2 linked regions of the Saccharomyces cerevisiae S288C genome follow. The protein of the gene in region 1 interacts with the protein of each later gene in a biochemical or structural test. Each region holds a gene or a part of one and is shown on either strand. Other genes may lie near its edges.

The links.
Region 2: the proteins of NOP10 (region 1) and SHQ1 are reported together in a solved structure, tested with the Saccharomyces cerevisiae proteins (one study listed by BioGRID).

Annotation. Positions count from the first base shown.
Region 1 is NC_001140.6:238,700-254,567, forward strand, and holds NOP10 (snoRNP complex protein NOP10), read left to right. Parts: upstream 1-2,964; coding exon 2,965-3,141; downstream 3,142-15,868. Other genes in the region: lanosterol synthase ERG7, read left to right, coding at 399-2,594; oxysterol-binding protein related protein OSH3, read left to right, coding at 3,883-6,873; QNS1 (glutamine-dependent NAD(+) synthetase), read left to right, coding at 7,494-9,638; PPE1 (phosphoprotein phosphatase methylesterase 1), read right to left, coding at 9,740-10,942; type 2C protein phosphatase PTC7, read left to right, coding at 12,402-12,456, 12,550-13,526; NMD2 (Nmd2p), read right to left, coding at 13,675-15,868.
Region 2 is NC_001141.2:156,033-173,217, forward strand, and holds SHQ1 (Hsp90 cochaperone SHQ1), read right to left. Parts: upstream 15,474-17,185; coding exon 13,950-15,473; downstream 1-13,949. Other genes in the region: HPM1 (protein-histidine N-methyltransferase), read left to right, coding at 13-1,146; COPII subunit SEC24, read right to left, coding at 1,353-4,133; YIL108W (putative metalloendopeptidase), read left to right, coding at 4,855-6,945; PFK26 (6-phosphofructo-2-kinase), read right to left, coding at 7,246-9,729; MOB1 (Mob1p), read left to right, coding at 10,383-10,402, 10,488-11,412; SLM1 (phosphatidylinositol 4,5-bisphosphate-binding protein), read right to left, coding at 11,549-13,609; YIL105W-A (uncharacterized protein), read left to right, coding at 11,632-11,772; DPH1 (2-(3-amino-3-carboxypropyl)histidine synthase), read left to right, coding at 15,719-16,996.

The sequences.
Region 1 (15,868 bases):
ATGCTTAGTTTTTGTCCATCTCATTGTACATTTCTGAATCCTAATGCATGACTCCCTAACATTACTATTAAATTCTCAATAGTGAAGAATAAGCAAAATGGGAACCATGATAATTTCTAGCTTTCTCTCCACCCCTATTTTAATTTGCAATCATATATAGTACTTTCAATAGCATCTTTTCTAGATTTGATATCTGCGGAAACTTTTCGTTTATAATCGTTTAGGTGAAAAGTTTTTATATCGGTTATTTACAGATATACATTTTCTCAAAAAAAAAAAAATATAATACATGCCCTCAGCTTTTAATAAAGCCATTGAGCACAAGCCTCTCCAGTAATGTACTGCTGTGCCCAATAACCTTACCAATAATCGTCGCCCACAAAGAAAGTACAAAACAGATGACAGAATTTTATTCTGACACAATCGGTCTACCAAAGACAGATCCACGTCTTTGGAGACTGAGAACTGATGAGCTAGGCCGAGAAAGCTGGGAATATTTAACCCCTCAGCAAGCCGCAAACGACCCACCATCCACTTTCACGCAGTGGCTTCTTCAAGATCCCAAATTTCCTCAACCTCATCCAGAAAGAAATAAGCATTCACCAGATTTTTCAGCCTTCGATGCGTGTCATAATGGTGCATCTTTTTTCAAACTGCTTCAAGAGCCTGACTCAGGTATTTTTCCGTGTCAATATAAAGGACCCATGTTCATGACAATCGGTTACGTAGCCGTAAACTATATCGCCGGTATTGAAATTCCTGAGCATGAGAGAATAGAATTAATTAGATACATCGTCAATACAGCACATCCGGTTGATGGTGGCTGGGGTCTACATTCTGTTGACAAATCCACCGTGTTTGGTACAGTATTGAACTATGTAATCTTACGTTTATTGGGTCTACCCAAGGACCACCCGGTTTGCGCCAAGGCAAGAAGCACATTGTTAAGGTTAGGCGGTGCTATTGGATCCCCTCACTGGGGAAAAATTTGGCTAAGTGCACTAAACTTGTATAAATGGGAAGGTGTGAACCCTGCCCCTCCTGAAACTTGGTTACTTCCATATTCACTGCCCATGCATCCGGGGAGATGGTGGGTTCATACTAGAGGTGTTTACATTCCGGTCAGTTACCTGTCATTGGTCAAATTTTCTTGCCCAATGACTCCTCTTCTTGAAGAACTGAGGAATGAAATTTACACTAAACCGTTTGACAAGATTAACTTCTCCAAGAACAGGAATACCGTATGTGGAGTAGACCTATATTACCCCCATTCTACTACTTTGAATATTGCGAACAGCCTTGTAGTATTTTACGAAAAATACCTAAGAAACCGGTTCATTTACTCTCTATCCAAGAAGAAGGTTTATGATCTAATCAAAACGGAGTTACAGAATACTGATTCCTTGTGTATAGCACCTGTTAACCAGGCGTTTTGCGCACTTGTCACTCTTATTGAAGAAGGGGTAGACTCGGAAGCGTTCCAGCGTCTCCAATATAGGTTCAAGGATGCATTGTTCCATGGTCCACAGGGTATGACCATTATGGGAACAAATGGTGTGCAAACCTGGGATTGTGCGTTTGCCATTCAATACTTTTTCGTCGCAGGCCTCGCAGAAAGACCTGAATTCTATAACACAATTGTCTCTGCCTATAAATTCTTGTGTCATGCTCAATTTGACACCGAGTGCGTTCCAGGTAGTTATAGGGATAAGAGAAAGGGGGCTTGGGGCTTCTCAACAAAAACACAGGGCTATACAGTGGCAGATTGCACTGCAGAAGCAATTAAAGCCATCATCATGGTGAAAAACTCTCCCGTCTTTAGTGAAGTACACCATATGATTAGCAGTGAACGTTTATTTGAAGGCATTGATGTGTTATTGAACCTACAAAACATCGGATCTTTTGAATATGGTTCCTTTGCAACCTATGAAAAAATCAAGGCCCCACTAGCAATGGAAACCTTGAATCCTGCTGAAGTTTTTGGTAACATAATGGTAGAATACCCATACGTGGAATGTACTGATTCATCCGTTCTGGGGTTGACATATTTTCACAAGTACTTCGACTATAGGAAAGAGGAAATACGTACACGCATCAGAATCGCCATCGAATTCATAAAAAAATCTCAATTACCAGATGGAAGTTGGTATGGAAGCTGGGGTATTTGTTTTACATATGCCGGTATGTTTGCATTGGAGGCATTACACACCGTGGGGGAGACCTATGAGAATTCCTCAACGGTAAGAAAAGGTTGCGACTTCTTGGTCAGTAAACAGATGAAGGATGGCGGTTGGGGGGAATCAATGAAGTCCAGTGAATTACATAGTTATGTGGATAGTGAAAAATCGCTAGTCGTTCAAACCGCATGGGCGCTAATTGCACTTCTTTTCGCTGAATATCCTAATAAAGAAGTCATCGACCGCGGTATTGACCTTTTAAAAAATAGACAAGAAGAATCCGGGGAATGGAAATTTGAAAGTGTAGAAGGTGTTTTCAACCACTCTTGTGCAATTGAATACCCAAGTTATCGATTCTTATTCCCTATTAAGGCATTAGGTATGTACAGCAGGGCATATGAAACACATACGCTTTAAGTTTTATTTATAAGTGTTGTTAGAGGCTGCAACAATTAGAAACTAGTGCAAAACTAGTATATTTATTTGTATATGTAGTAGTAAAATAATAGGTGAAAAATTAACATGTGTTTGAAATTCCAGCTAACTATTGGTTATGGTGATTACACGCTAAGTGTAGAGTTCTTTCAAATATACCATTTATCCTTTAGCACGGCTTCACTATTTTTTTCGTCTTTTTTCAACTAAGCGGAAGGAGAAAAAAATTTCAAGTTATGCTCATCACTCTTTTATTACATTATGGTAGCTATAAAGTGGCTTATGTTAGTGAGTTGACGGAAAAGAGAAATACTTTCAATAGACCAATACATAACAAATCCTTTTGAACAAGATGCATTTGATGTACACTTTGGGCCCAGACGGCAAGAGAATCTATACATTGAAAAAGGTCACCGAAAGTGGTGAAATCACGAAGTCTGCTCACCCAGCTAGATTTTCTCCAGACGACAAATATTCAAGACAAAGAGTAACTTTGAAGAAGAGATTTGGTTTGGTACCAGGCCAATAGATTTGGGTAGTTTAAGGGAATATTGTATAGTACGTGATTCTGGCTAGTATGAAAATGCAGTGAATTTTCTTGTTTCATTTTCAATTTTCTAGACCTACATAAATTTGATAAGTTTTTAGGTGATAAATACTAATTATAATTGATCGATTATATGTTTTAATCTCGAAGGAGCAGTGGCCGTTTTCTTATCCAGAACCAGTTCTTTTAAGACTCGCCAGTTTCTTTTTAGCTGTAATAAGGAAAAATAGATTGATATTAGTTACAGTTGTGCTTCACGTTGTTAAAACGTACAAGAAAAGTCTTTAACTGTAGCAACCAAAAAAGGTACTTGATGTCGATATTAAGCCGCATCTCTAGATCTAAAGGCTCCACTCTACTGCTCCACTTTACTGCTCCAAAGAGTCGGCTTACAGATAGGCTACCGCTACATTAATAACTGTGCTGGAAAACCTTGTTTCCGGGAGCACAAAATTGTAATGACATATTTATTTTGGTTGTATCAAGCGTTTCCAACTGTTGATTCAACCAAAAAGCCTCATAGCTTTTAATACGGATATTGCTTAGGGTAGGGCGAAAAAAATAACCAAATCTTTGGAAAAAGCAGTTTGACACCATACAACCAGCAACGACATGGTTTTTTAGTGAACCTGTTGGGGGGAGAGTATAACTCGTGAAAGTTTCGACGTCCTATTTGCTGGAGAGTAGTAAAACGAGCTTGAATAGCAGCCTGCGAATCGAATTATGGAAACAATTGATATACAAAATCGATCATTTGTTGTTCGTTGGGTAAAATGTGGCCGTGGCGATGTAATCAATTATCAGATCAAGCCATTGAAGAAATCTATTGAAGTCGGCATATACAAAAAGTTGAAATCCAGTGTAGATGACCATGCTTCCGCAGTTCACATTGCACCTGACACTAAAACATTGCTAGACTATACTACGAAATCTCTATTACATAAGGGAAGTTCGAGTAATATTGAGGAGCATCACAGGCGTTCCTCACAGCACTCTCATAGTTCGAGCAATGGATCGGATAATAAGAGGAAAGAGAGATCATATTCTTCACTGTCCATTAGCGGCATACAGCAGCAATCCCAGGAAATACCCCTACGTGAAAAACTCTCTGCGTCAGGATTCACTTTGGTCAAGAGGGTCGGCAACGTTTCCGGTAACACTATGGTCCAAGGTGATCTTGAAGTGAAAGATACAGACTACTATTATGCATTTATACTGGACAACTCGTCTTCCAAGAATGCAAAAAAGAAAATTCTTTTTAACGCAAGTGTGATAAACGGCGATAATCAATCGATGATAAGCACAAGATCCACCCCTCCCGCAAGGCCTACAGCTTTAAGCAGAACATCTACTCAACAGGATATGTTATTTAGAGTAGGACAAGGTCGTTACTTGCAAGGCTACCTGCTGAAAAAAAGGAGAAAGAGACTACAAGGTTTTAAGAAAAGGTTTTTCACCTTGGACTTTCGATATGGAACCCTATCGTACTATTTAAACGACCATAATCAAACTTGTAGGGGTGAAATTGTCATAAGCTTGTCATCTGTTAGTGCCAATAAGAAGGACAAAATAATCATAATTGATTCTGGTATGGAAGTTTGGGTCTTGAAGGCTACAACTAAGGAAAATTGGCAGTCGTGGGTCGATGCGTTACAAACTTGTTTTGACGATCAGTTCGAAGATAAGGACACGTCCACTTTGGAAGAAAATCCCGACATTCTTGACGATGACAAGGAAGTAATTAATAAAAGCTCACCTCAAGACCACGACCACCTCACGCCCACGGCTACGACCAAAAGTGCACTATCACATAGACAGCATACTCAGAAAGACATGGATGACATATATGTCCCATTGCCCAGCGAATCTTACGCTACTTTCTCCATGAATCTACGTTTGATTCAACAACGACTGGAGCAGTGTAAAAAAGACTCGTTATCTTATAAACCAACTACTTTACATCAAAGATCGGAGGGGCTAAATGGAACACATTCGTCATCTTCCGTCTTTACCAATAATAGAGTGTCTTCATTCAATCATTCTTCTTCTGGTATGACGTCATCTGATTCTTTAGCCTCTGAAGAGGTTCCTTCCAACAAAACATATATTGAGCATGCTTTATATAACCAATTGGCAGATCTTGAAGTATTTGTTAGCCGGTTCGTTACACAGGGAGAGGTTTTATTCAAGGACCACCAGATCCTGTGCAAGAAAGCAAAAGACACGAGAGTTTCTTTAACTTCATATCTTAGCGAGAATGATGAATTTTTTGATGCAGAAGAGGAAATCAGTCGGGGAGTCATTATATTACCTGACACAGAAGATGATATTAATAATATAGTCGAGGAAACTCCCCTTCTTGGTAAAAGTGACCAAAATGAGTTCACAAAAGAGGTCCAATTGTCGGGATCCGAACAGATAGCTTCATCAAGTGTGGAGAGCTATACAACTAACGATGAAAATCATAGCCGTAAACACCTCAAAAATCGTCACAAAAATCGTCGCCGTGGCCACCCTCATCATCAAAAAACCAAAAGCGCCCAATCCTCAACAGAAACATTTACAAGTAAGGATTTGTTTGCTCTTTCCTATCCAAAGAGTGTTACACGCCGTAATGACATACCTGAAGCTGCAGCTTCTCCGCCAAGCCTATTATCTTTTTTGAGAAAGAATGTAGGCAAAGATCTGAGCTCTATTGCCATGCCAGTAACCTCAAATGAGCCTATTTCTATTTTGCAGTTGATATCAGAAACATTTGAGTATGCTCCACTTTTAACGAAGGCTACCCAACGTCCTGATCCTATAACCTTTGTTTCTGCATTTGCTATTTCCTTTCTTTCCATATATAGGGATAAAACAAGAACGCTAAGAAAGCCTTTTAATCCTTTACTGGCTGAAACATTTGAACTTATACGAGAAGATATGGGGTTTAGGCTTATATCGGAAAAGGTCTCACATCGTCCTCCAGTATTTGCCTTCTTTGCAGAGCATCTCGACTGGGAGTGTAGTTACACTGTAACGCCATCGCAAAAGTTTTGGGGTAAGTCTATTGAATTGAATAACGAAGGTATACTGAGATTGAAGTTTAAGACAACTGGAGAACTATTTGAATGGACGCAACCAACAACTATTTTAAAAAATTTGATAGCGGGTGAGAGATATATGGAGCCTGTCAACGAATTCGAAGTACATTCTTCGAAGGGAGACAAATCACACATCCTGTTCGATAAGGCAGGTATGTTTAGTGGAAGATCTGAAGGATTTAAGGTTTCGATAATCCCACCACCTTCGAGCAATCGCAAGAAGGAAACTCTAGCTGGTAAATGGACACAGAGTTTAGCTAATGAAACTACACATGAAACTATATGGGAAGTAGGTGATTTAGTTAGCAATCCGAAGAAGAAATATGGCTTTACTAAATTCACCGCAAATTTGAATGAGATAACTGAAATTGAAAAGGGCAATTTACCACCTACGGACTCAAGATTAAGACCAGATATTAGAGCTTACGAGGAGGGAAATGTTGATAAGGCGGAAGAGTGGAAGCTGAAATTGGAACAACTTCAACGTGAAAGACGTAATAAAGGGCAAGATGTGGAGCCTAAATATTTCGAAAAAGTATCTAAGAATGAATGGAAATACATAACTGGACCGAAGAGTTATTGGGAAAGAAGAAAGAAGCATGATTGGTCTGATATTTCTCAACTCTGGTGAATGCCTTGATGACATCAAGTGAACTTTTTTCCCCCCTTTGTACTCTATTTATTTTCCATCTTTAATGATCATCCACACAAATTACTTGTATATGCGTTCATGTATAGTATACTATATACAACATGAAGGACTTTATAAATTCTTGATCAATCTTTCACACTAATTTTATATTAACAGTTCTACACTATTTTTGTTTGCTTGACTGTAAAAACATTCTATTTTATGATTAGTTGCAAAACTTGAAAAAAACAATAGAATTTCATCACATAATTGAAAGATAATGAACTCTTTCAGTCAGTTAGATCCATGTTTTTTGAAGAAAAGTTTACGAACACAGGATCTTACAAAAGGTGCCTAAATTTGGAATTGAAAGTCTATTGCTATCAAAACTTGTCAAAGATAACATAGCTTGGAACATCTTATCCTTTATATGTCCTGCTAAGTCATATCAAGAGGCCCCAATAGTTTCGTCGAAAAAGATAAAGAGGAATATGGAAGGGAAATATAAGATTATCAACTGGTTACCTCAAAATAGACTATATGCTCACATCATCAATTGATATTGCTTGTAAAAATACCCCCAAATACCCTGGCATTCTTTTTTTGACTCCCTGCCAGTAATGTCACATCTTATCACTTTAGCTACATGCAACTTGAATCAATGGGCCCTAGATTTTGAAGGTAATAGAGACCGTATCCTACAGTCCATTAAGATTGCCAAAGAGAGGGGTGCCAGGTTACGTGTCGGCCCAGAACTGGAAATAACTGGCTACGGATGTTTAGATCATTTTTTAGAAAATGACGTTTGCCTTCATTCATGGGAAATGTATGCTCAAATCATTAAGAATAAAGAAACCCATGGATTAATACTTGACATTGGTATGCCCGTTCTACACAAGAATGTTCGTTATAATTGTCGTTTGTTATCCTTGGATGGTGAGATATTGTTCATAAGACCTAAGATTTGGTTAGCTAATGATGGTAACTATAGGGAAATGAGATTTTTCACACCTTGGATGAAACCTGGCGTGGTGGAGGACTTTATCCTTCCACCTGAGATTCAGAAAGTTACCGGCCAGAGACTTGTGCCATTTGGGGACGCTGTGATAAATTCATTGGATACATGCATTGGTACAGAAACTTGTGAAGAATTGTTTACACCTCAATCCCCCCACATCGCCATGTCTTTAGATGGTGTGGAAATCATGACAAACTCATCTGGTTCTCATCATGAACTGCGTAAGTTAAATAAAAGGTTAGACCTAATTTTAAATGCCACTAAACGTTGTGGTGGTGTTTACTTGTATGCAAATCAAAGAGGTTGTGATGGTGACAGATTATATTATGATGGCTGTGCACTAATTGCCATCAATGGTACAATTGTAGCCCAAGGTTCACAATTTTCGCTAGATGATGTGGAAGTAGTTACTGCTACTGTGGACCTAGAAGAGGTGAGGAGTTATCGTGCAGCTGTCATGTCTCGTGGCCTACAAGCCTCCTTGGCAGAAATAAAGTTCAAGCGTATTGATATTCCTGTAGAATTGGCTTTAATGACCTCCAGATTTGATCCTACAGTGTGTCCAACAAAAGTCCGCGAGCCTTTCTATCACTCTCCTGAGGAAGAAATTGCACTGGGACCTGCTTGCTGGATGTGGGATTATTTAAGACGTTGTAACGGAACAGGGTTTTTCCTTCCCTTATCTGGGGGCATTGACTCTTGTGCAACTGCAATGATTGTCCACTCTATGTGCCGTTTAGTGACCGACGCTGCTCAAAATGGAAATGAGCAAGTTATCAAAGACGTTCGTAAGATAACACGTAGCGGCGATGATTGGATTCCAGACAGTCCACAGGATCTAGCCTCAAAAATATTTCACTCCTGTTTCATGGGTACGGAAAATTCATCCAAGGAGACAAGAAACAGAGCAAAGGACCTTTCCAATGCAATTGGATCTTACCACGTGGATTTAAAGATGGACTCATTGGTATCCAGTGTGGTGTCCTTATTCGAAGTAGCCACTGGCAAAAAACCAATATACAAAATATTTGGGGGATCTCAAATCGAGAACTTGGCTTTACAAAACATCCAGGCGCGTCTAAGAATGGTTCTTTCTTATCTTTTTGCGCAACTGTTGCCGTGGGTTCGTGGTATCCCAAACTCGGGTGGATTGTTAGTACTTGGTAGCGCAAATGTTGATGAGTGCTTACGTGGGTATCTAACAAAATATGACTGCTCCTCCGCAGATATCAACCCTATTGGGGGTATTTCAAAAACTGACTTGAAAAGATTCATTGCCTACGCATCAAAACAATATAACATGCCAATCTTGAATGACTTTTTAAACGCTACACCAACTGCAGAATTAGAACCTATGACTAAAGATTACGTTCAATCGGATGAGATAGATATGGGGATGACGTATGAAGAATTGGGCGTGTTTGGTTACCTAAGAAAGGTTGAAAAATGTGGTCCTTATTCTATGTTCTTAAAACTTCTTCATCAATGGTCCCCAAAGTTAACACCTCGTCAAATATCTGAAAAGGTGAAAAGATTTTTCTTCTTCTATGCCATCAACAGACACAAGCAAACTGTTTTAACTCCTAGTTATCATGCTGAACAGTATTCACCAGAAGACAACAGATTTGACTTACGTCCTTTCTTAATCAACCCAAGATTTCCATGGGCTTCAAGAAAAATTGATGAAGTTGTCGAGCAGTGTGAAGCACATAAAGGCTCAACGCTTGACATTATGTCTATTGATTAGCACAGAAGAAGTGCTCACAGCAAAATAAGACTTTTCCACGAGTTCATATATTCTGTTATTTATTCTATCATAAATAAAGATATAAAAGTGATATTTAACCCTTATGTATTTTGCACGGTTTTGTGTTGACCCCAATTAGTCTTGATTACTACATTCCTAGAATCGTTCCGCTTCCAGAAATCAATTAAAGTGATTGCTGTTTTTATAGGCGAATCTTCTTGAATGAAATGCCCGGAATCTTGGAAAACTACCAACTGATATTTACCTTGCATTTGCCCCACAATTAATTCTTTATCGAGATTTTCGTTTCCCGCCAATATTAATAATTTACTAACAGGTAAGCCAACAAAGGAGTGCGACAGATCGGTAAACCATGTGTCCCAGAAAGGGCTAAAGGTCTTAAGGTTTGTTATCCTGACAACTTTCCCTGACTTGAGCGGAGCAAATAAAGCTGGTATAGCAATTTCGGCGCTTGACCTCAATCTCGATAACGCGTGTTGAACGTGCCAATCGACAGCGTCATTAATTGATTCAAATACATTGGGTGTATTCTGCAAAAAATGTTCAACTTTATTTAAGGCCATAATGGCAGCCTCTTCTACAATATCTAACATAGTAATACCAAGAATTTTCTTTTGTAGTTCTGTTGATAATTTAGGGTACGCAAAAGTACATATACTTCCACCAAGGGAATGACCAATTAGTATAACAGATACCTTCTGAAGTGGCTCTTGGCTTATTTTAGACTTAAACCAATAATTTAGCAGGCTTACAAAATCTTTGATAAAAGAGTCCCTGTCAAAGCATATAGGCGCATCAGCCTTCTTAAACTTTGTTTCTGCATGCCCCCTAGCATCAAATGCAAAGCATCCGCATCTTCCTTCTAGTTTAGTATTTAATTCCTTGGCCAAGTTTGCAAATGATAAACCTGAGGAGCCCGCCCCATGGTGGAAAATAAAGATGGGAATTGAAGTGGTATTTGATAACAATGAAGTAGGTAATGTATAGTATGTATTTACGTCCAGATCTCTATCAGGAAGACTTACCAACTCCTTATTATCAAAAAAATCACTCCAAGTGGGTAAACTACTCTTTTCCTTACTTGAAATTCTATCAGTAGTACTACCGGTTTTGCCCGTATATTTTCTGTTCCTATTTGATTGTCCATTAAATGATGGCAGGGAACCTAATGCATCACCATCGTTTTCATCATCCTCGTATGCTTCTTGGAATGTCGCATCTAGAACATTCTTGGCTCTCTCAAACTGGGATAAAGCAATTTTTCTTCTCAAATCGTCAGACATTGAAAATTTGAAAATGTCCTACCGTTACTACCAGTTTGTTGCCGTATTTTTGACTCTTTGTTGAGCATTAGTTGATCATTACCGCTGCAGTCAGTTAATGATATCCCTAAATAGGCATATTGTACAATTTCAAATATATTACCCGAATTACAAGAACAATAGGGTCTTCTACAATATTACTATGAACAATTCATAGGGGAACATAGTCCACTTCAATGTCGGTGCCAACGATTCTATTTGTTGTAAGTATATATGCTGTTTCCCGGCAATACTTTATATTGGGGGAATTTTCTGGAGGTTTAAGGGCATATTACTACGTCAAGGCTGGGATTGACCTTCTGGTATATATTACGTTGCGCAGGACATTCCTTATACTTGAGCCTTTGTAAAAACTTCTTCGTTCTCCTGACCAACCGTTCAATTATGTTGTGAATTTTTTGATCCGAGTTTGAAACATCCAAATTCACAAACAAACCGTTGTCATCCTGAGTTGGCGTCGGCCATTGAGCTTCCTCTATGTGTTTTAAATCTTTCATTTTAAGAAATCTAAGTAAGGAAATTGTTTCTCCACATGTGTACCGTATAAAGTTCTTGTTATGAATTAGAAGGATTATCACAAAAGCCCTCCATCAAATCTGATAATTTCATTACCCAAAGACTGTAATACCTTGGGTGTAAAGATCGTATTTTTTGATGTCTTCGTGATATTTTGCAGATCTTTCCATTTTATAAATTTCTGCAAATATCGTGCATCAGCTCATCTTGGAATTGGCACAATCTGCGTAATTTTTTTCTTGGTTCTCTTCTCCTTTTGATTTTAAGAGCGCTTTCTATTCAGTAGCAGATTTTCAGTAAATAAAGCCATCTTTCTCAAGTAAACTCATGATCATGCAGTTGTTCAAAATTACACCAATAACGATGTTATCTTTAAAACTTTCCCCAGAAAGAAGATGGCACTTTTGCACTAAATACTTCAAACTATTTAACTTTGAAGCAGGACATATTGCCGGTTATTTGACCATGCTGGCGCCGTTGACATTCATGTAAGCAGTATTAGCTTTTAAACTGCCATTAACGCACCTATACGATTGCGGCGGTGCGAAAACAGTAACTAGCACTCTTACGGCTCATTGTTTCCTCTATCCAAAGTTGCCTATATCACAATAAAATTAGAAATTAATCATTTTAATAAGCTTGCTGCCATTCAGTGACTCGCAATCTACGTTTTAAACGTAATTTAAAAATCCACTTCCACCTACATATTTTGCAACAGTCGTACGACAGAAACTGAGGCTCTATAAAATGAGATGTGCTAATTGTTCTTTCTTGGCTGGTTTCAGCTACATCTTTCTGTAATCAATCTACAAATTTACACGCGAGCTTCATTTTGACAGTAAACAAATGTAAAAGACACATGCAATAAAAGCGGTCCAGAAAACAAACGACAAAGCCACCAAAAATGTTTGCAAACGTTGGATTTAGAACTTTGAGGGTCTCGAGAGGTCCCCTTTATGGTATGTTTATTGTTTTATTCATTGGTGTGCTAATTGCTAAATTTGCGGGACAAATGCTAATCGACTCAGAGACTAACTTTTCTCATATCATAGGATCCTGCAGTCAAATCATCAGCTTTTCCAAGAGGACTTTTTACTCAAGTGCCAAGAGTGGGTATCAATCGAACAACAGTCATGGTGATGCGTATAGTTCAGGTAGCCAATCAGGCCCGTTCACCTATAAAACCGCGGTAGCTTTCCAACCAAAAGACAGAGACGATCTGATATACCAAAAACTAAAGGATTCTATTAGATCACCTACAGGAGAAGACAACTATTTTGTTACATCAAACAACGTTCACGATATTTTTGCCGGTGTCGCAGACGGTGTTGGAGGATGGGCTGAGCATGGGTATGACTCCAGCGCCATCTCAAGAGAATTGTGTAAAAAAATGGACGAAATAAGCACTGCTTTAGCAGAAAATTCATCCAAAGAAACGCTTTTAACGCCAAAGAAAATTATTGGTGCTGCATACGCAAAAATTAGGGATGAGAAAGTAGTGAAGGTTGGTGGGACAACAGCCATTGTGGCTCACTTCCCATCTAATGGAAAATTGGAAGTTGCCAACTTGGGTGATTCTTGGTGTGGAGTCTTCAGAGATTCTAAACTTGTATTCCAGACAAAGTTTCAAACTGTTGGATTTAATGCTCCTTACCAATTGTCAATCATTCCAGAAGAAATGTTGAAAGAGGCCGAAAGAAGGGGTAGCAAGTATATTTTAAACACCCCCAGAGACGCTGATGAATATAGCTTCCAATTGAAAAAAAAGGATATTATTATATTGGCTACCGATGGTGTAACCGATAATATTGCCACAGATGATATTGAGCTTTTTCTGAAGGATAACGCTGCGAGAACAAACGATGAGTTACAGCTATTATCCCAGAAGTTTGTGGACAATGTTGTCAGTTTAAGCAAGGACCCCAATTACCCCAGTGTTTTTGCGCAAGAGATTTCTAAGCTAACTGGCAAAAACTACAGCGGTGGTAAAGAAGACGATATAACTGTTGTTGTCGTGAGAGTTGACTAACACTCCGCTCTTTAATCTCCTGGAAAGCAGTGTAAATAAAAATACAGCGTCATAAACGGTACTATATAAACACGTAGCCATTTAATAGAGCCAAACATAAGTGGGCATATATAGTAAAAATTTAAAGAACTATATTCGCAAAAGAATCTCAGTCGAAAGAACGTTTTAAAACAATCTTTTTAATCTTGTTTCGCTCGGTTTTTAGTTTCTCTTCTTCTTCAAGGACATCAGAGACAAATTTCACATCCGTTGGTAATTGTAAAATTCTTGATTGTGTCTTCTTACCGCTTTTAGTCAAGAACGTAAATGCAATCTTCTTTGGCTTGGATAACTCTTCGTAGGTCTCCTTGCTTGAAGAAGGTTCTTCACTCTTTTTTAATAATAAAGGTTTTTGAACGCTGACTGGCTTCGAAATTACTGGAATTTTACTGGCAACAACCTTTTCGCTTTTCCTTGCGTCTATGGATTCTTGCATCATTTTCTGAAATTGCCTTTCCAATTCTTCTTCCGCTTTCCTTTCTTCCTCATCCTTTAGTTTTCTCTCGTACTCTTCATACATTCGTTTCATTTCAATATCTCTGTCTGCGTCAAGATCACCACCATACTCCAAATCAGAGTCGCTGTCTTCTTCTTCTTCATCATCATCATCCTCATCATCATCATCTTCATCATCATCCTCATCGCCTTCTTCTCCATCATCATCATCATCGTCATCGTCATCGTCATCATCCTCGTCATCGTCCTCATCGTCTTCATCTTCACTTTCGTCTTGCTTTGCCTGATGTTTTCCTGGCGCTGACTCTGTGTTCGGTGTACTTATCTCCGCGTCTTCATCTTCTCCTAGTAAATCGACACCATCGTCGTTTTCATCATCTTCATCCTCATCATCTTCGGTGATTGACTCGATAGGAACAGCACTCTCCTTACCGTTGTGAATGCTTGCAGAAGATCCCTTCACTCTGTCGTCTTTACTTTTTATTGCGTTTAATGATTTCAGTAAACTTTCCAACCTTGAGGCACTTTCTACCAAATTTTCTGACCTTTCAAATTTAGTGTTTCCGAAAATATTCTCATATTTTTTAAATGTGCTTGAAACTCTGAATTCTGTTTCCTTGGGTAAAGGTTGTTCTTTAATAAAAGTATAATACTCGAAAAACCTCAGCAAAAGTTTGCATTTCTTAGTAAAAGCTGCAGGGGTCCTGTTGATATTTAACAGAATTGTAGTGACTAGTTGAATCCTGAAATAATTATCCGGTGGATCTGAGTAGTTTAAATAAAATGGATTGGGTTGATTGTTGATATGACCAAACCGAATAATGTGGTAGATAGTATCTAACAAAACATCGGATTTTATCATTTCAAAGTTGAATATTTCAGTTAAGTATCTGACATTTGATATTCTATGCATGTTTTGTCCATAATCGTTAATTTCTAAGCCTCGCTCAATGTTTTCCAGTACTTGGTCTATACATCTGATGACGAAATCGCGGCGGTAACTGTATAGACCGCCTAGAACTTTTGTTAATAAGGGAATATTTTGATAGCTAATCTTATGTGGTTTTGAAAACAGAGAAAACAGCACTTTCTGAATAGCTACATCGTCCCAGTGAGCTTTCCGAACCAACTTGACAATGTGTTTGAAGTCTAGGCTACTTAGTTCACTTCTAATTAATATGCGATAAAACTGTTGTTCAGGCGTTATTGTTTTTACCGTAACATTTAATGATTTTACAGAAGGGGGATAAAGTAAAGTAATTATGTTTTCTAAGGCGCTTTTCATGTTCATGTTCAATTGCCTATCATTTTTTTTATCCTTGATTAGTTGGACCATTTTTTCCATTAATTCCTTATATTCTGGCTTATTTAGCAGAAATTTCCCTGAGTGCTCCAACAAAACCGTCAAAATTTCTACGTTATTTGGAACTTGCATATACATGATTAATGTTCTAATCTTATGAAAAATCATAAACGATGGTATTAATTGAAATTTAATCATTTCACTGAAGAAGATGATGTTTTTAACGTTAATCTTATTAGAATGTAATTGACTCCTGAAGCCATTGTCTAGGTAGTTAATAAACTCAGAAACAATTTCCGGCATATATTTGCTATTTGTTGCAATAAATCTGGAATACACTGGCAGTTTGCTCCAATCTTGTGTTTCCATGAAAAATTTCAATATTCGATTTCTTGTGGCTTTGTTGTCCAAATATGATGACCAATATCTATTTGAAAGGTCATCGATTATATCTTTACAATCTGCCATTTCCAAATCCGTAAAGAATAGATTGATATTTTTTGAGTTAACGTTTGAATCTTTTTCTGTTTTAGAAGATTGTGAT
Region 2 (17,185 bases), on another chromosome or scaffold:
TGTAGCTAAAATATGTCATTTTCCTTCGGCTTTACTTCCAATGACTTTGATGATGATGAGCTTGTTGCTCAACCTGAAACATTCGTTGAAAGCAGCAAAGAAAACGAAAATACCACTGCTTACATCAATCCATTAGATTCGGATTTCTTGTCGCAAGCTGGAGTTGTGCAGCCAAATGTGGAAGACCTAGGAACAATATTGGAAAGTCTTAAGGATGTTAGATTGACATTTGAAGAGTTCCAATCTCCGATATATAGAAAACCATTGATCAAGAGGGAACTATTCGATGTCAAACATCAGCTAATGTTAGAGACAGATGCCCAATCCAACAACAACTCCACGGAACTGGACATTTTACTAGGTGATACTTCTGAAGATTTGAGAAAGAACATCTATGAAGGTGGGTTGAAATCATGGGAGTGCTCTTATGATTTAGTTGATTTGTTGTCAGAGAACGTTGATAGAATAAGCAACGATATCGACGCGGTTGTCGAAATAGGCTGTGGTACGGCACTACCCTCAGAGTTTCTTTTCAGATCTGCTCTTCTACGGAATGATAGAAGTAAAGGTTTAAAGTTTGTTTTGACTGACTATAATGCCAGTGTATTAAGATTAGTTACCATACCGAATTTGGTTATAACATGGGCTAAAACGGTTTTGACAAAGGAACAATGGTACGCCTTACAGAAAGACGAATGTGAAGATATTCCAATAAATAATGAGGAACTGCTTCTTACCTCAAAGCTGTTAGCTGCCTTTTACGACGATGTACAAAGCAGGAATATCAGCGTCACTCTTATATCAGGATCGTGGGGACGTAAATTTAGTAATTTGATCCATGAAGTACTCTCAGGTAGCCAAAAAGTCCTTTCATTATCCTCAGAAACAATTTATCAACCTGACAATTTGCCCGTTATAGCGGAAACAATACTTGACATACACAATTTACCACAAACCGATGTCAAAACTTACGTAGCCGCAAAGGATATTTATTTTGGAGTCGGTGGTAGCATCACTGAATTTGAAGCTTATTTGGACGACAAAATAAACTCCGAACATCTACCAATTCATTCTGAAAGGTTTAAAGTTAACTCTGGCTTAAAAAGGTCGATTATATGCATTGAAACAAATAAAGCTATCCGATAGTTAGTATAATTTGTTTCAACTTCATTTCCTTAAGTTAATCCATAAGTCTTTTACTGTATCTTTTATTTATAACATGGATGAAAATAGAAAAGAAATATAGAAGTAAAAATTAAAGTAACTGTTCAATATACATAATATAATTGGAAAGCAAAAATGCAACCAACAAAAATATACAGTTTCTTTTTATCATTGATTCCCTTTTAGCCTTATTTGCTAATTCTGGCTTTCATGATTTGTAAGAATTCTCTGTAACTTTCGTTATTCAAAATCTTATCCTCCACTAAGGTGCTAGAAGCCCATAGTCTTAGCGTTGCAACTTCCCTAGCAGATGCATGGTTAACGGGCTCGCTCAAAGAGGCACCCCTAACAATATACAATGATTGGTAAGTGATGACATCATCATGGTTTCTCAATTGGTTGATAATGTTTCTTACTCTTTGATTGAATTCAGAATTTTCAACAACAGGTATTTCCTGTTTGCCAATTGGAATGTCAAAGATATCCTGTGTTCCAAACACATCGAATACTAGCGCTGGTACAGCGTCACCACCCATCCACAAAAACAATTCGTTACCATTATCTATCAAGTATAGACCGTATCTTTCAAACAACGAAGAGGTAGCATTGATTGGTTGAGGCAAAACAATTGTGCCAGTAGCTTCACCATCTTCAGTTTGCACTGGTAACCCAGCCTCATCAGCCATATCATGCAGCGAATAAACATCAGGGTAGATGTTTTTGATTAGATATTTCAAAGGTAATGATTCTAAGTTGTTCAAGGCCGAGGCGCGATGGTCACTTGGGACAATACCAGATCTAAATGCCATATGCTTAGTTAAAGAATGCATTAACAATGGGAACATTCTCAAATTGGCACATAACCTCAATGGGGCCCCCCCTGCAGTGTTGGACACCACTATTTCCTTCTTGTACGTGGCTAAGATATCTTGCACGGATTTGTTGATCAATACTCTTGCATCGTCCAAACTGGAATTCAATGCTTTCTCCACCGCCTTCGAGTTGTAAAACGACGCTATAGCTAATTGGTCAGCAGATGCGTAGACTTCTGCCAACGATTCCGTGGTTGGCATAGCCAATGTTATAATTCTTATTCTACGTTGACTATTATTCAGAGATAAAAGTACCGCTACTTGAACATAACAATAGTCAGCCATAATGGATTCATCAACGTTAACTTCGAATAAGTATGATTGATCTCTTGGCATGGTGGAAAATGCACATAAATCAGATGATCTATTGAAGAAGTGACCATAGAATCTACTCATTCTCAAACCTGTGGAACCACGGGCTCTCATTACGGTTTCCATACAGAAATCCATGGAAATGTGCTTGGCAAACTCAGTGGAAAATTTGACAATATCATTTGGGTTCTTGCCTGAAAAACCAGGATAGAAATGCGTTTGACCAGCAGTGAAACGACTCAAATTCGATAGTGATGCAACGTCCATATAATCTTCAGAAGCCAAAAATAAATCGACAGTAATCTGTACTTTAGAACAATCGATGGTGAAATTCTTATAAAATGAGTCTTGACAGGAAAGTAGTTGTGCAGTTTCCTTGGATGTATTAACAACACCACTTTCATTTCTCCTTTGTAATTTTCCTATGCCTAAGTTGGGCAAAGTACCTGACACAACAATTATTTTACCACCAACGCCACCAATTAAATGATAAGCGGATTTCAAAGCGGGGCCCAGTGCGAAATTTGTGATTAAATTAGATTGGAAGATTTGAGGAATCTTGGTCAATAAAGTTTCAATGTTTTGTCTGCAGGCCTTTAAGGACACAACCATAGAGTTTGGTCTGGGCAAGAAAGGCTCTTCCAGGTCGGCAATATCCATCATGTTGATTTGATCGGCGGACTCTTCATTGTTTTCAGAATCCAATGGGATTTTAAAGTAGTGAATGGCGTTGTCTACACATAAGATGGAAATTCTGGTTCTTTCATCATGGTTTGGAATGGAATCAAGATTTTGCAAAAGGGTGTTGATGGTAGTGGCCAGTAACCCACTCTTGATAGAGGACTGGGAGACATCGATCAGGAAACAGTAAGTGGCTGGAGGTGGTTGTCTTAGAGTATATTCCTTTGGGGCCATATATTCCATCACAGCACATTTGATTTCATTTCTGTCGTATCTACTCTTTGGGTCGTTTGGATCGCTCTGGTCCATTTGCATAGGAACGTCATTGGCCAGACGACAAAAGTTACATCTCCATCTTCTGCCTTGCTCGATAAAAGTGACAAAAGGGTTCATGTAAGAACGACAACGACGACAACGGACAATAAGTCCATCTTCATTCAATGGAGGCGGGTCGATATCGTCGTACAAGTGTTGGTATGGTCTGATAACAAGCCCAAATGGAAGTTTAGACTTCTTCAGCAGGGAGCTGTTCTTAGGAACGGCGTTCAAGGTCGACCTGATATAATCTGGAGACGCATTGGACAATTCAGAAGGAACTAACATCCTTTCTGGAGGAATAACCAACGGTGGGGGAGGCAAGGTCAGATCGGTAATTGGAGGAGGCAATTCCGTCAACAGATCGATTGGATACAACTGGTTCATGGGCCTCATGTTTTGGCCCATTGCGGCGCTAGGTTGGCCATACGCAGGCGCTGCCATTGGTTGTTGCTGTTGCTGCAAAGGTGTGCCCATTTGCACGGGAACCTGTGGCTGCATATAAGCGTTAGGATCGACTAGCGGTACGTTGTGCAGATGCATATCGTTCATGGAAGTGGTGGCCTGATCAATTTGCTGGTGTAACTGTTCTTGAGCAGGGGTTAGGAATTGTTGCTGCCCCATGGAAGGGACTGCACCCTGTGGCGGCATTCCCATCTGACCATAGCTCATTCCAGCTGCAGCAGGATCCTGCGGAGGCATGAATTGTGCTGGCTGTTGTAGAGGGGTGGCATTTTGTCCATACTGGAGCTGAGCTTGTGGGTAAACACGTTTCTTGTGATGAGACATTTTGCAGATGGTCTCAGACTTATATATTTATGTCTGTTTCAATGCGGCAAAAATGGACCTGAGTGCCAGATAAAACCTTTTTGTAGTGCTATTTTTGGCCTGTTTCCTGATGTACCATCCTCCTTACATAGTTTTGTTTTTCTTCGTTTTCGTTCTTCCAGTTTTCATTTTCTTCTGCCGTAAATGGAAAAAACAAGAAAAAAAAAAAGAGAACAGCTAAGCGTTAACAAATCTGCTCCAGTGGCCATGTCCAAGACTGTTTTTCAAGCCCAGATAGTGCCTGAATAGACTGCATTAAGCTGAAAAACTTATAGCAGTGGTTAGTGCAAAATGCACACTTGTCAGTGCTATGTATATTTGTGACACGATTCTATCACCCAAACATAGCACTAATTACTTTTTTGTTACCCGGCATTCTAGGCGGAAATTTGCTGAAATTTTCCATCAATTAATTACGTAACCTATTCTTTTAAGAGCATGATGTTGTATATAAATATAGATCACCTTAGGAACAGTCAGGCTTTCTTAGGTTTCAGAAGTTCATGTGTCTTGGCGCAGTCAATTCTCTCGATCTTTTTTTGGTTTGGACGTTTAAGAGTAGCGGTCGCCGGAAAATAGAGAGAAAAAGGAAATTTAAAAGGAGTTCTTCTTTCTTCTTATTATTAGATCGTATACAGTAAAAAAAAAAAAAGGAAGTAGTAGTTCGAAGAGAAAGAAATAAATGGTAGGCTCGAAGGATATTGATCTATTCAACCTGAGAGAGAACGAGCAAATCGTTTCTCCTTGTCTTATCGTGCACGGAAAATGCAATAAGCAAAATGGTGCGAAGACCGTTCAAGTGCAGCATCCACAATTGCCTCCAATTACTTACCCCATACATAATCAGTTCTTCAAGGCCACTGTGATATTGACTCCTGGTGAGAACAAGTTGACCTTTGTTACAGACACTAACACCGCTAGGACAATCGTATGTTACTACACACCACTGACGCAGAACCCTCCCGTACACCTGTGTCTGATCTTGGCCAAGGATTCGCCTTTACAGTTTGACTCTCCTCGAGAACAGAAGGACAGAGAGGGCGGGAATGGCCTCGAATTGGCAATCAAGAAGCTAAGACTTGGGGCCAGACTCATGCAAGCGTACACGAACGAGCAAATGCTGAGAAACAGTATGGGAAATAGGACGTTTCCCTTTGTTGAAGAATTTACCTGGGACACGCTGTTCGAACGGCCTGCTATGAGAAACACCATCAAAATACATGTAGTTCGTTCGGAAAAGACGGTGAAGGAAATCCAGGACCCTGACATAGCTCAACAGAATTCCAAAGGGAAAAACACCGGCGCCCTTTTTGGGATAGCCATGGACGCCCTTAAAAGTTACGGCGGACCCTTCACCAATAACGAAAAGCCTGTTCAGGCAGCTTGTATGTTTCTAGACACCCACTGGGATGGTAAGTTGATTAGAGGCCACGCCGCATTGGGTGGGGGTGACGACAGCATTAAGCTCGCCATTTTTGGGTCGCACGGGCTTTACTCATGGCCTACTTGTCTCGAGCAATTGGTGCCTTATTTTACTGATGAGACAAGATCCTCCACCAGTGAAGTCGCCAACGACTGTAATGAGTGTGGTACTTACTGGGAATGTTTGACTATCACGTTGGGAGCATTTATGCATGAGATTGGTCACTTACTGGGTTGTCCTCATCAGGAAAGCGGTGTTATGCTAAGAGGCTATACCACTTTGAATAGGTCTTTCTTGACTAAAGAGGCTTATTCTGTAAGAACTAATTCAACTGGTGCTAGTCCTCCCATCTTCCCCAAGGAAGAATGTACCTGGAACCGTCTCGATACGGTAAGATTTTTGTACCACCCCTCTTTCACTTTACCACAGGATTATTACGATCCATCGTTCATGAGACCTACAAAATTGGGCGGATACCCCAATATAAAACACTCTGTATATCCTTTGGGTAACGGCAGTTGCCGCATATTATCGCCCACAGGAATCTATTTGATTGAAATTATATGTGATGATTTGGCCAGGGGCCATATTGAATACTTGCCGGTTTCCCTAGGTGGACAGGGGCCTCAACGGGAAGTTATAGTAACATTAGATGATTTACGTGCCAGGTTGCCCAAGAATGAACTCGCCAAGTTTGGCAATACCTTCAAATTGAAAATTCTTTCTGTTAATGCACCGGAAACCGAGTTCGACAAGTTCCCATCTTTGTTAGATGTTCAGCCATTAGACATGTCGAAATATGGGTTTTCTAAAAATGTTCAAGGTATCAAATCACCACTTTATGGTCGCAGCGACGGTGGTAATGCTGTCGGCGTCGTCGCTTTTGATGTTAGATTAGTCACTGCTGTGAGAATATACCATGGCTATGCATTAGATGGTGTGAGGTTTTATTACAAGGAAAAACCAACTGGAACAAAGGATGCTCCCGCATCCAAGCCCTCTGTACCACCAAGAAATTATTTCTCAAAAATTACACATAGTATCAAAAATCATGCTTCAATAAACGAAGAAAATCTAAAAAGTGTACTCTTTGGACATGAAACACAAAATTTTACGGATGCTACACTAGAACCGGGTGAAATAATCATTGGGTTTAATCTGAGGTGCGGAGCTTGGGTTGATGCTATCCAAATTATAACGAGTCATGGGAGAATGACCGACATGTTTGGTAACAAAGACGGAGGTGGGTTCGCTGAATTGCAGCCACCTAATGGCCAATATATCCTAGGTGTGACTGGCAGAGTCGGTCAATGGGTCGACGCCTTCGGAATTATTTACGGAGCTTTATAGTAATTAGTCAAGGTTTTTTTTTTCTTATTTTTTTCTATTTCATAACTTAGTCATATCAAAATATATCTATTAAATTATTTTCCATATATACGTAGATATTCTTCATTTGCATAATTCTTTGGGAAAAAGGAAAACAGTTATAGAAAAATATAAACAAAAAACCGCAACACTTCATGATTGCGTCGAACAATATACCTTAAAGAAGAAAAAAAAAGGTTGGTTTTATCACTTCATTAGTCTATTTGAATAATTCATAAAATATTTCTGATTTTTTTTTTTTTTTTTTTTTTTCATATTATTTTAAACGTGACTTTGGCTGCGATTCATGGTTTTTGCCCTTATATCTTCGTTGTCATTATTATCAGCATTATTAGGATAATCCTTTCCATGTAATAGAAAACTTTTATTTTTCAACATGGATAACTTTTCGTCCACTTTATCTATTTCAAAAATTTGCCTTGGTGTAGCCGCTGACTTCTTTACATTAGGTACATTAGAAGCCGCTTTATTGTTGTTAGCCAAAAGAGGATTCACGTTGTTTTGATTTGGAACAACCCTGGGACGATGTATCGAAATTGAGGTACCTCCACCATCTAAGATGTTATTAGAAGTATTAGTGGCCATAAGTGGTGCAGATAATGGTATTCTCGAATCACCATTTTCATTCTTGATGTTAAAGTTGCTCCCAATGAGAGTGGTATTATTGCTGCCAGTTTGAGCACTAACGCTATTCTTGGGTTGTTCTGATAATTCACTCTGGGATGAAGATGCAGAAGTAGGATTAGATCTTTTTCTTGACAAAAAGTCACTTGCAAAGCTGCTTCTTGCACTTGGCGGAGCTGTTGGTATAACAGAATATCTTCTTTCATTATAAACAAGGCCAACCTCCTTTACTCTGGTGGTATTCAAGTCCGTTTGTGGGACCTTAGAAAATGAATCCGATGCTTCATCATACTCCCATAATGACCAAGTGATTCCATATGGTTTTGGTTCTAGGCAATATACACAATGTAATGGGACATCCAAATTGGCAATAATACCCATACTCAAGTTCATAAAATAACCCAATAAGGCTCTTGCCACCACCCGGTGTGTAATAATAAGAACGTTATCCTCGATTCTTTCTAGTTCTGTGATAACAGGTCTGAGTCTATTAATAACGTCCATATACGATTCACCGCCAATACCAGGGTATCTGTATCTCAACTTATCTTTCTGTCTTTTTTCGAATTCTTCAGGAAAGTTGTTTTTAATTTCTGGATATGTCATACCATCATAATCACCTGCACTTAACTCATCTAACATTTTCATTTGTTTGATAGGATAATCATCTTCGTTGAAATATTGAGCAGTCCCTATAGTCCTAGCACGCATGCTGGTCCAAACGAAAAAGTCATTATAAATGTTCCCATCTGTATTTTCATTATTCTTTTTTTGTTGCATGAGATTTTGATAAAATATTTCTCTCTGTCTGGCAATGAATTTTGGTAGACTTTTAGCAAATCTTAGACCACGAGGAGTCAAATGGGAATTTCCGCCTATACGGCCACTAACATTATCTTCGCTCTCGCCACTTCTCGTTATCCAAATTTGTCTGTCAGCCAAATTGAAATTTAACAAATAATATACCGTCTGCGAAGCTAAAAACCCTTGAATATTGTATGCGATGACTTTCTTTCCCACATCTATCATTTTGATGTACTGCAAATTTTCGTCATCCTCAATTGGTTCATAGGCTTTCAAGTAGTTTGCCAGGCGACTTTTAAAATCTTTTAAAGAGCTTTCAGGATCTTTACCTTTGTAATCTGGACCAAATAATTTGAGTCTAATATTTTTCTGTACCAGTGCATGATCCGAACAAACAGATTCTAAAAATAAAACCTTCAAATGAGGACTTCTCTTTCTGATTCTAGCCAGAACGTTTTTTCTTCTTTCACGAGAGGTATTTGTAGCATCAAAAATTCCCACAGATCCTGAACCTTCTAATAAATAATCTAGCAATTCATCCAGAGTATCCATGGCCCATTTGTCTCTCAACCTAGTAGAGTCGGCGTTTTTCGGCTCGAAAAACTTTGAATCCTGGTCCTTTAGGCCATGCTCCTTAGCAAACTTCCTTCTAGTGTTACCGACATTAAACACTTTACAATAGTATAAAGAATAATTTAAAAATCTGGATAATTTATTTGTAATAAATGACTTTCCCGTAGCTGGCAGTCCGACCATGACAATCACTAACTTTGATCCACTATCTTCCTTTGATATGAGACCATCTGGAGATGTTTTAGACTTTGTTAAACCAGGAACATCGATGGTGGTAGGTCTTCTTTTATGGTGTCTCGTAGGTGATTTAATGTCTTTCAAATCAATCCGAGTTACCTCATTTGCTCCATCTGAAGGAGGCATGTAGTCAGTAGTATCGTTTGTGGGAATTTTAGCATTTTTTAGTTGCGTTTCGTCGTTAATATGCAATCGATGTAGCGATTTCAAATTAGTAGCGCTATTTTCAGGAGAGTCAGAAGGTGTATTTTCTTCAGTGATTCCAGGAGAGTTCCAATTGCTCGATATAGGAGTATCGCTCAAAGGTCTTTTCTGAAAAAGTGGTAAGTGCTTAGATAATTCATCATGCGGACCCTTTTCAGCATCAATTTTATCATCGGAACTCCGGGATAAAAGATCATAACTGGAGTCTTGACTAGGTGCCACATGGTGTGGAGATTGTGTAGGAGCAAGATCAATATCAGGCGGCACAGGAGATGTTTCAGAGAAGTCTACTGGTTTGAACATGAGCTTTTATTCCTCTTGCCTTTGTTCCCTTGAATAAACCCTTCTTCTACGCCTCTTGTTATTATTTTTACTCTTTTAGCTTATGGCACAAAAGTACACAAATAGATACTAAAAGGCGAAATTTATTTCACTTGATTTACCCGTAACTGAATACTTGAGTTTGTCTATATATATATATGTATACCTTTTATTGTTAAAAAAAGAATATGCCAACAAAATCTATAATAAATAGTCCATGTACTCCACTATAAATTAATTTGCTATTGTCAGTAATGGCGCGATTAAAAATAAATAGGAAAAGAAATCTCTCCTCAAAAAATCTTATGTCCCCTAATTTCCGTATGTTGTGATTTTGGTATTCAGAGATGATCACGTGATATAAACGTGATTATTATTATCGGTCGGGTATCCCACTCGTATAATATGACAAATACGTTCGATCAAAAGAAGGGTAATACTACTTCCCAAAATGGAAATATCAAAACGTTAGAAGAATTACAATTATAGCTTTGGTAACATTACTGATCTAAAAGAGCCTTAGCTCAGCCCGTTTGAGCTGTATAGATATTTTTTTAGTTTATTCGAGAGAAAACCGGTTTTTTTGTTAGTATCTTCAACAAAATTTTCCTAATTCAATAAGGACTTCAATTTCCATGTCTTTTCTACAAAATTTGTATGTTGCTATTTTCTTTTCTACTTCAAGTATTATTGTTCATCTTTTATTAACAAACTGGGTATGAGTTACCTTTTGAAAGCAGTCATATAAGTCCCGGCCAAACAATAAGATCTACTAGAGGTTTCAAGTGGAATACTGCCAATGCAGCTAATAATGCAGGCTCTGTATCGCCTACTAAGGCAACTCCCCATAACAATACTATTAACGGCAATAATAATAATGCCAATACTATTAACAATAGAGCAGATTTTACAAACAATCCAGTAAACGGATATAATGAAAGCGACCATGGAAGGATGTCTCCCGTCCTCACTACGCCAAAGAGGCACGCCCCTCCGCCTGAACAATTACAAAATGTAACGGACTTTAACTATACACCATCGCATCAGAAGCCGTTTCTACAACCGCAAGCAGGTACGACAGTTACAACACATCAAGACATCAAGCAAATTGTGGAGATGACACTGGGGTCTGAGGGAGTCCTTAACCAAGCTGTGAAGTTACCGCGTGGTGAGGATGAGAATGAATGGCTAGCGGTTCATTGCGTGGATTTTTACAATCAGATTAATATGTTATACGGGTCCATCACAGAATTTTGCTCCCCACAAACATGCCCGAGGATGATAGCGACGAACGAATATGAATATCTTTGGGCATTTCAAAAGGGTCAGCCCCCCGTTTCGGTAAGTGCCCCTAAGTATGTGGAATGTTTGATGAGGTGGTGTCAAGACCAATTTGATGACGAATCTCTTTTTCCTTCCAAAGTCACCGGTACCTTCCCGGAGGGATTCATCCAACGAGTAATTCAACCAATTCTAAGGCGATTATTCAGAGTTTATGCGCATATTTACTGTCATCATTTTAATGAAATTCTTGAACTAAATTTACAAACCGTACTAAACACAAGTTTTAGACATTTTTGTCTTTTTGCACAAGAGTTCGAACTACTAAGACCGGCTGATTTTGGTCCGCTGTTAGAATTAGTGATGGAGTTGAGGGATAGGTAGTATTGTATATTTATATAAGTCTGCTTGTAGGTTGTATTCTTCCATGCATGGGACACAAAAACAAAAATACGGAAACATATTAATATAACATATGGATGGAAGGAAATAAAAACATTCTAGTTTACTATACTTGTATTTATGATTTGAAATCGTTTATTGGAGTTTGAATATAAATATTGGGAACTTGATCTTGTAATTCAGAATCATTAGTATCAGGTAATGAAGACATGGATGTATTCGTATTTGTTTGATTGTCCAATTTTGGTGTTACCGTGGACCCCACATAATTACTATTTATATCATCGTTTTCATCATTTTCTACCATTGTGCTATTGGCATTACTCAGCTGATACTTATTAATGCTGGTATGGTTATTGGTTAGCTTGGGTTTCCCATCTGAATTCAAGTTTAATTTTTGTGTTATGAATTTATACTTGTCTTGTATATTCGAAGTAGATGTTAAGATCTTCAAATTATCAAACCAAGACATCATTGATTCATAAGAATCGGCTTTAAAAACCCAATTGTGACCACGACGAATTATGCCGTTTTGCTTAGCATGCAACACAAACTTAGCATCCGAACCAGTCGAATTTGGTGATGATGTACTGTTTTTCCGGGAATGTTCCGTCACAGTACATTCACTTAATGCTAACGACATCACTGGTACTAAATCTTTTTTTCTGTCCGCGGTCTTGAATTCATGTAAAAAGTTCGGTGTCAGCACATAATACCCTTTTGAATAGGATTTTAGAAATTTTGATCTTCTTTCTAAAAACCCTGATTTGATTTCATAAGTCAAAGGATCGAATTGGTATTTGTAAACGATTTCTTTGAATGTCCTCATCGGTAGATTAGGCAATAAAAAGTTGGGATCCCTTGAAATGAAGTTATCCCATTCAAATTGTGGGTCAACGTTGAAAAATCCAGAATCTAATTTGGATATCAATATATCGAAAACCAATTGTGCTTCTTGTCCCAGTAATCTGGCATATATTGTTAAAGAGTTTTGAATTTCCATAACTACAATTTTTTCTAATTCAGCGCCTGAAGTCTCTAAATTATCAAAAGCTTCATGCAGAAAGTTTTCCTCCTGAAGTTGCTTTTTAATTTGTCTATCAAGCGCCAGCTTGGTTAAGAATGGATCTTGTTTTGGCACTGAATAGCGCGCATCCTTTAAAGACTCCTGAAATTGCTTCATGGCCTGTTTTGTTTGTTGTAACTCTTTGGAACAAGAATTTTTGAAATCCGACTGCAGTGATTTTATTTCCTTTATCTTGACTATTAGATCTCTCCTCAAGTCTTCCAAACGAGGAATAACATCATTGGTCAATTCCCTTGATGCCTTAGACGCGCTGGATGCTAGGGATTCATGATACTGGTTCAAAATTGTTGGTAAGTCCTGTATCGAGCCATTACCCAATGGCAAAAAAAACTTTTGTACTGATTTATCCTCCTGCGAGCTTGGTTGGTATTGATTCTCGATCGAAAAGAATGGGAATTGTACAGCATGTGATAATCTTAGTTGCTGTCTAACAATTTCATCCTGAATAGAAGCGATTTCTGTTAAGTAAACGATCACCGACTTGATGACATTTCTCCAAGCTGAAAACCTCGCTGCAAGAATATCTGTTGGTTGCGCAGCTGTAGGGACCAGTATTACTAATGGAGATCTAGGATCTTGTTGTTGTTGCTGTTGCTGAGCAAGTCTTTGACGTTGTAAGGAAGACCTAGCCCTCGACAGTATTGAAGTGTTGGTTAAAGAGTTTTTCCCTTGGAGCTGTTTCCCGTTGTTATTATTGGGATCTGGGACAGCAATGGTTACATTGGTGTTCGAGTCGATATTAGGAGAACCATTGCTTATGATACCTTGCAACCCTCCAGAATTCATCGTCAGCGTCCTATTGTTTTGAAACGTTGAATTACTAGTGGAAGGAACTGGTTGTCCATTCAAATAGCTTTGTTGGTTTATATCGGATGTCAAACTGCCATTTTGAAAGCTTGCGCTCTGCTGCTGTTGCTGCTGCTGCTGCTGTTGTTGTTGTTGTTGTTGTTGCTGTTGTTGTAAAACGTTGGCATGATCTGCTGAAGTCATACTTCTCGTATGCTGCTGCAAGTTATGCAGGTGCTGAAGATTTAGCTGTTGCTGTGACAGCATATCAGAGACCGCAGAGGTCATTGTGTTGTTTTTCGACATTTTTTTTTCTTTTAATGTTGTATTCTTTTATTGTTAACTACTTTTTTTCTTTAAAAAGCTTCAAAAGAAGATGACCAAATGCAGATATAAGAACACTCTAATAGGTTGTACCAATTCAAGGGCTCAACAGATGTCCTCGTTGTTTTTCCCCCCCCCAGCTTGGATCGCTGTCACTCTTCAAGGCTTGAAAGCCTTCTCCCTTCTTCGATGGAATACGTAATGCCATGAGGGGAAAAGCCGCGGGAAGAGAAGGGTAACCCAATTTTAGGCCCCTGCAGGAACGTTAATCAATATATACTCTATCTAATGCAGTAATCTACGCTAAACATTCAAATGATCTTCATTGTGGGTTCTGCTGCTGCTCTCGGTATTCAGACTCTGCCAAAATTTCCATCTCTCTTATATTTAGTGTCTCCCACTCAGGTTCGCCAGTTTGTTCGTTGAACGATGCAATACATTCAAATTCAATATCCTGCTTGGAAAGTGACTCTTGCTCTTTTCTCATTTCCAAGGCCAGACTTCTTATGACGTTCTCACTACCCTGAGAAATGAACCACGCAGTCAGATCATCCAAGAGAACTTTGTCGTAGACGTAGTAAACATCATGGAAACGAAATGTTTCATGAATGTCCAAAAGCGCCCTTATGACTAGTCTCTTACCACCTCGTAGAATATAATATACGAATGTCCACGCTTTCATTGCTAGGTCATAGTTTCTATGTAGTGGATAACTCAGGGCTCTCCTGATACCTGTAATGATTGCAATCTTGATGAGAGAGCTGTCTTTATTAACCTTTGATATTTCTTTCATACCGTCTTGCAGTTCGTTCACCTGTTTTAATTGTTGGTCTAAGAATGATATTTGAGGGCACAATTTTCCCATGGTCCAAGCACTCTCTGTGGTATGAGTACCTTCGTTTTCGATCTGTTCAAACACATAACTGAAAAGAACGCTGAGTATAGTGACATAAAGTGGTTTTATATCTTCCACGAGATAAGACTTCTTGGGTAAATTGTCCTGCATCTGTTTTTGTTCCTCGTCAGTAAACTCAATTGGCATGACCAGATTTGGGTTCGTACTGTCTTTGTACCATTGCAGGTATTGCTTTACGATCGAAGGTGTAAACTTCAGTAGTTCTTTAATGCCGTTAATTTCCAAGTCTTCCTCGTTACCGTATTTATGTGTCATATACTCGGAAACATAGTACTCAGGATCAAACTTCAAATTTTCTTTTCTTAACCTTTCAATAACTCTATCGTTCGCGTCAGTGTGTTCAGGATCGTCTAATTCATTGATATCGTTCCCGTTGCTTGTCGACACTGATATAACTGTATCATATAAGTTATCAAACCCATATTTTGTCTTCAATATTCCATTATTGGTGCTGGAATCCATCTTTTGCTCTATCTCCCAATTAAACCCCTCTCCCATTTGACCAATAGTCTTCACATCATCTTTAATATTATTCGACACGCCATCAGTTTCGACCTCTTGAATAAGGGGCTTTTGGGTTTTTTTCGCATCAGTATTTTCTGTTAATGCATCGGCACCTGCAAGATCGCCTTGCCTAGCCAACAACTTTGTCGGTAGGTCCAAATCTTCGAAATATTCATTTTTATTCAGTTTGGCTACTTTTACATTGATGCATTCATCTTTGGAATCGTATTGAGCGGTAGACCTCTCATCATCGATTAATTCGTGAGGAAATCTTAATCTTAAATAGTAAGGGGATAAGTGAAAAATGATCATATTTTCTTGGATGATTATCTCTAAACCCACTGCACTGAACCTAATATTACTTATGAATATTTTGAGAAATATAAATTCCTCATCCTGTGTTATAGAGAATCTTGGTGTTATCATTATAGTTCAGAAGTGATGGTAGATTATAGCAAGTATTCTTCTTTTGTGAATCTTAATATTACTCTGAGCACTTGACACTGAATATTTAGTATTCAAAATTTTTCAGCTGATTTTTGCGATGCGATGGTGATGAAAAAAAAAACATGTAGTAGTAATAACAATCAAATAAAATAAGTGAAATCTCATGAACTATCTGCTGCGAATTTTAAGGATAATCGGATAGCTTGAAGCATTTCTTTTTCGTAATGAGTGGCTCTACAGAATCTAAAAAACAACCAAGAAGAAGATTTATTGGGAGAAAATCTGGCAACAGTAATAATGACAAATTAACTACAGTGGCTGAAAATGGCAACGAAATAATCCACAAGCAAAAGAGTAGAATCGCCCTAGGTAGGAGTGTTAATCATGTGCCAGAAGATATATTGAATGACAAAGAGTTGAATGAAGCCATCAAATTATTGCCCTCTAACTACAACTTTGAAATCCACAAAACTGTGTGGAATATCAGGAAATATAATGCTAAAAGAATAGCCCTACAGATGCCTGAAGGTTTGCTGATTTACTCATTGATTATAAGTGACATTTTGGAACAGTTCTGTGGTGTTGAAACTCTAGTAATGGGGGATGTGTCTTATGGTGCATGCTGTATTGATGATTTTACTGCTAGGGCATTGGATTGCGATTTTATTGTGCATTACGCTCATTCGTGTTTAGTTCCTATTGACGTTACAAAGATTAAAGTACTATATGTCTTTGTTACTATAAATATTCAAGAAGATCATATTATCAAAACGCTGCAGAAGAATTTTCCTAAGGGATCTAGAATCGCTACATTTGGTACCATTCAGTTTAATCCTGCGGTACACAGCGTCAGAGATAAACTGCTTAACGATGAAGAACACATGCTGTATATTATTCCACCACAAATCAAGCCTCTATCGAGGGGTGAAGTATTGGGGTGTACTTCTGAAAGATTAGATAAAGAACAATACGATGCCATGGTATTCATCGGTGATGGTAGATTTCATTTGGAGTCTGCAATGATACATAATCCGGAAATTCCTGCATTCAAGTATGACCCATACAACAGAAAGTTCACTAGAGAAGGATACGATCAAAAGCAACTCGTGGAAGTTAGAGCAGAGGCCATTGAAGTCGCTCGGAAGGGTAAAGTTTTTGGTCTGATCTTAGGTGCATTAGGTAGACAAGGTAATTTAAACACTGTAAAAAACTTGGAAAAAAACCTGATCGCAGCAGGTAAAACCGTGGTGAAAATTATTCTAAGTGAAGTTTTTCCCCAAAAGCTCGCAATGTTCGATCAAATTGATGTTTTTGTTCAGGTCGCATGTCCTAGACTGTCCATCGATTGGGGTTATGCCTTCAATAAACCACTATTAACACCATATGAGGCTAGTGTCTTACTAAAGAAAGATGTCATGTTCAGCGAAAAATATTATCCAATGGATTATTACGAAGCTAAAGGATACGGGCGTGGGGAAACTCCGAAACATGCGATTGAATAGTTTAAATAGTTTTTGTTGTCACTTGTCTTCCTGTTACATATGTATAAATAGTTAGTATCATATTCTTCGGAGCATCTTTTCTATTGTTTAAACGTTTTTGACGGCTTGCAGGCGAAACTAAATTGTCTAAAATTCAAAACAATGCCTTCTAACTTGATATCACTGCTGGTCAAGCCTATTTTTATTCTG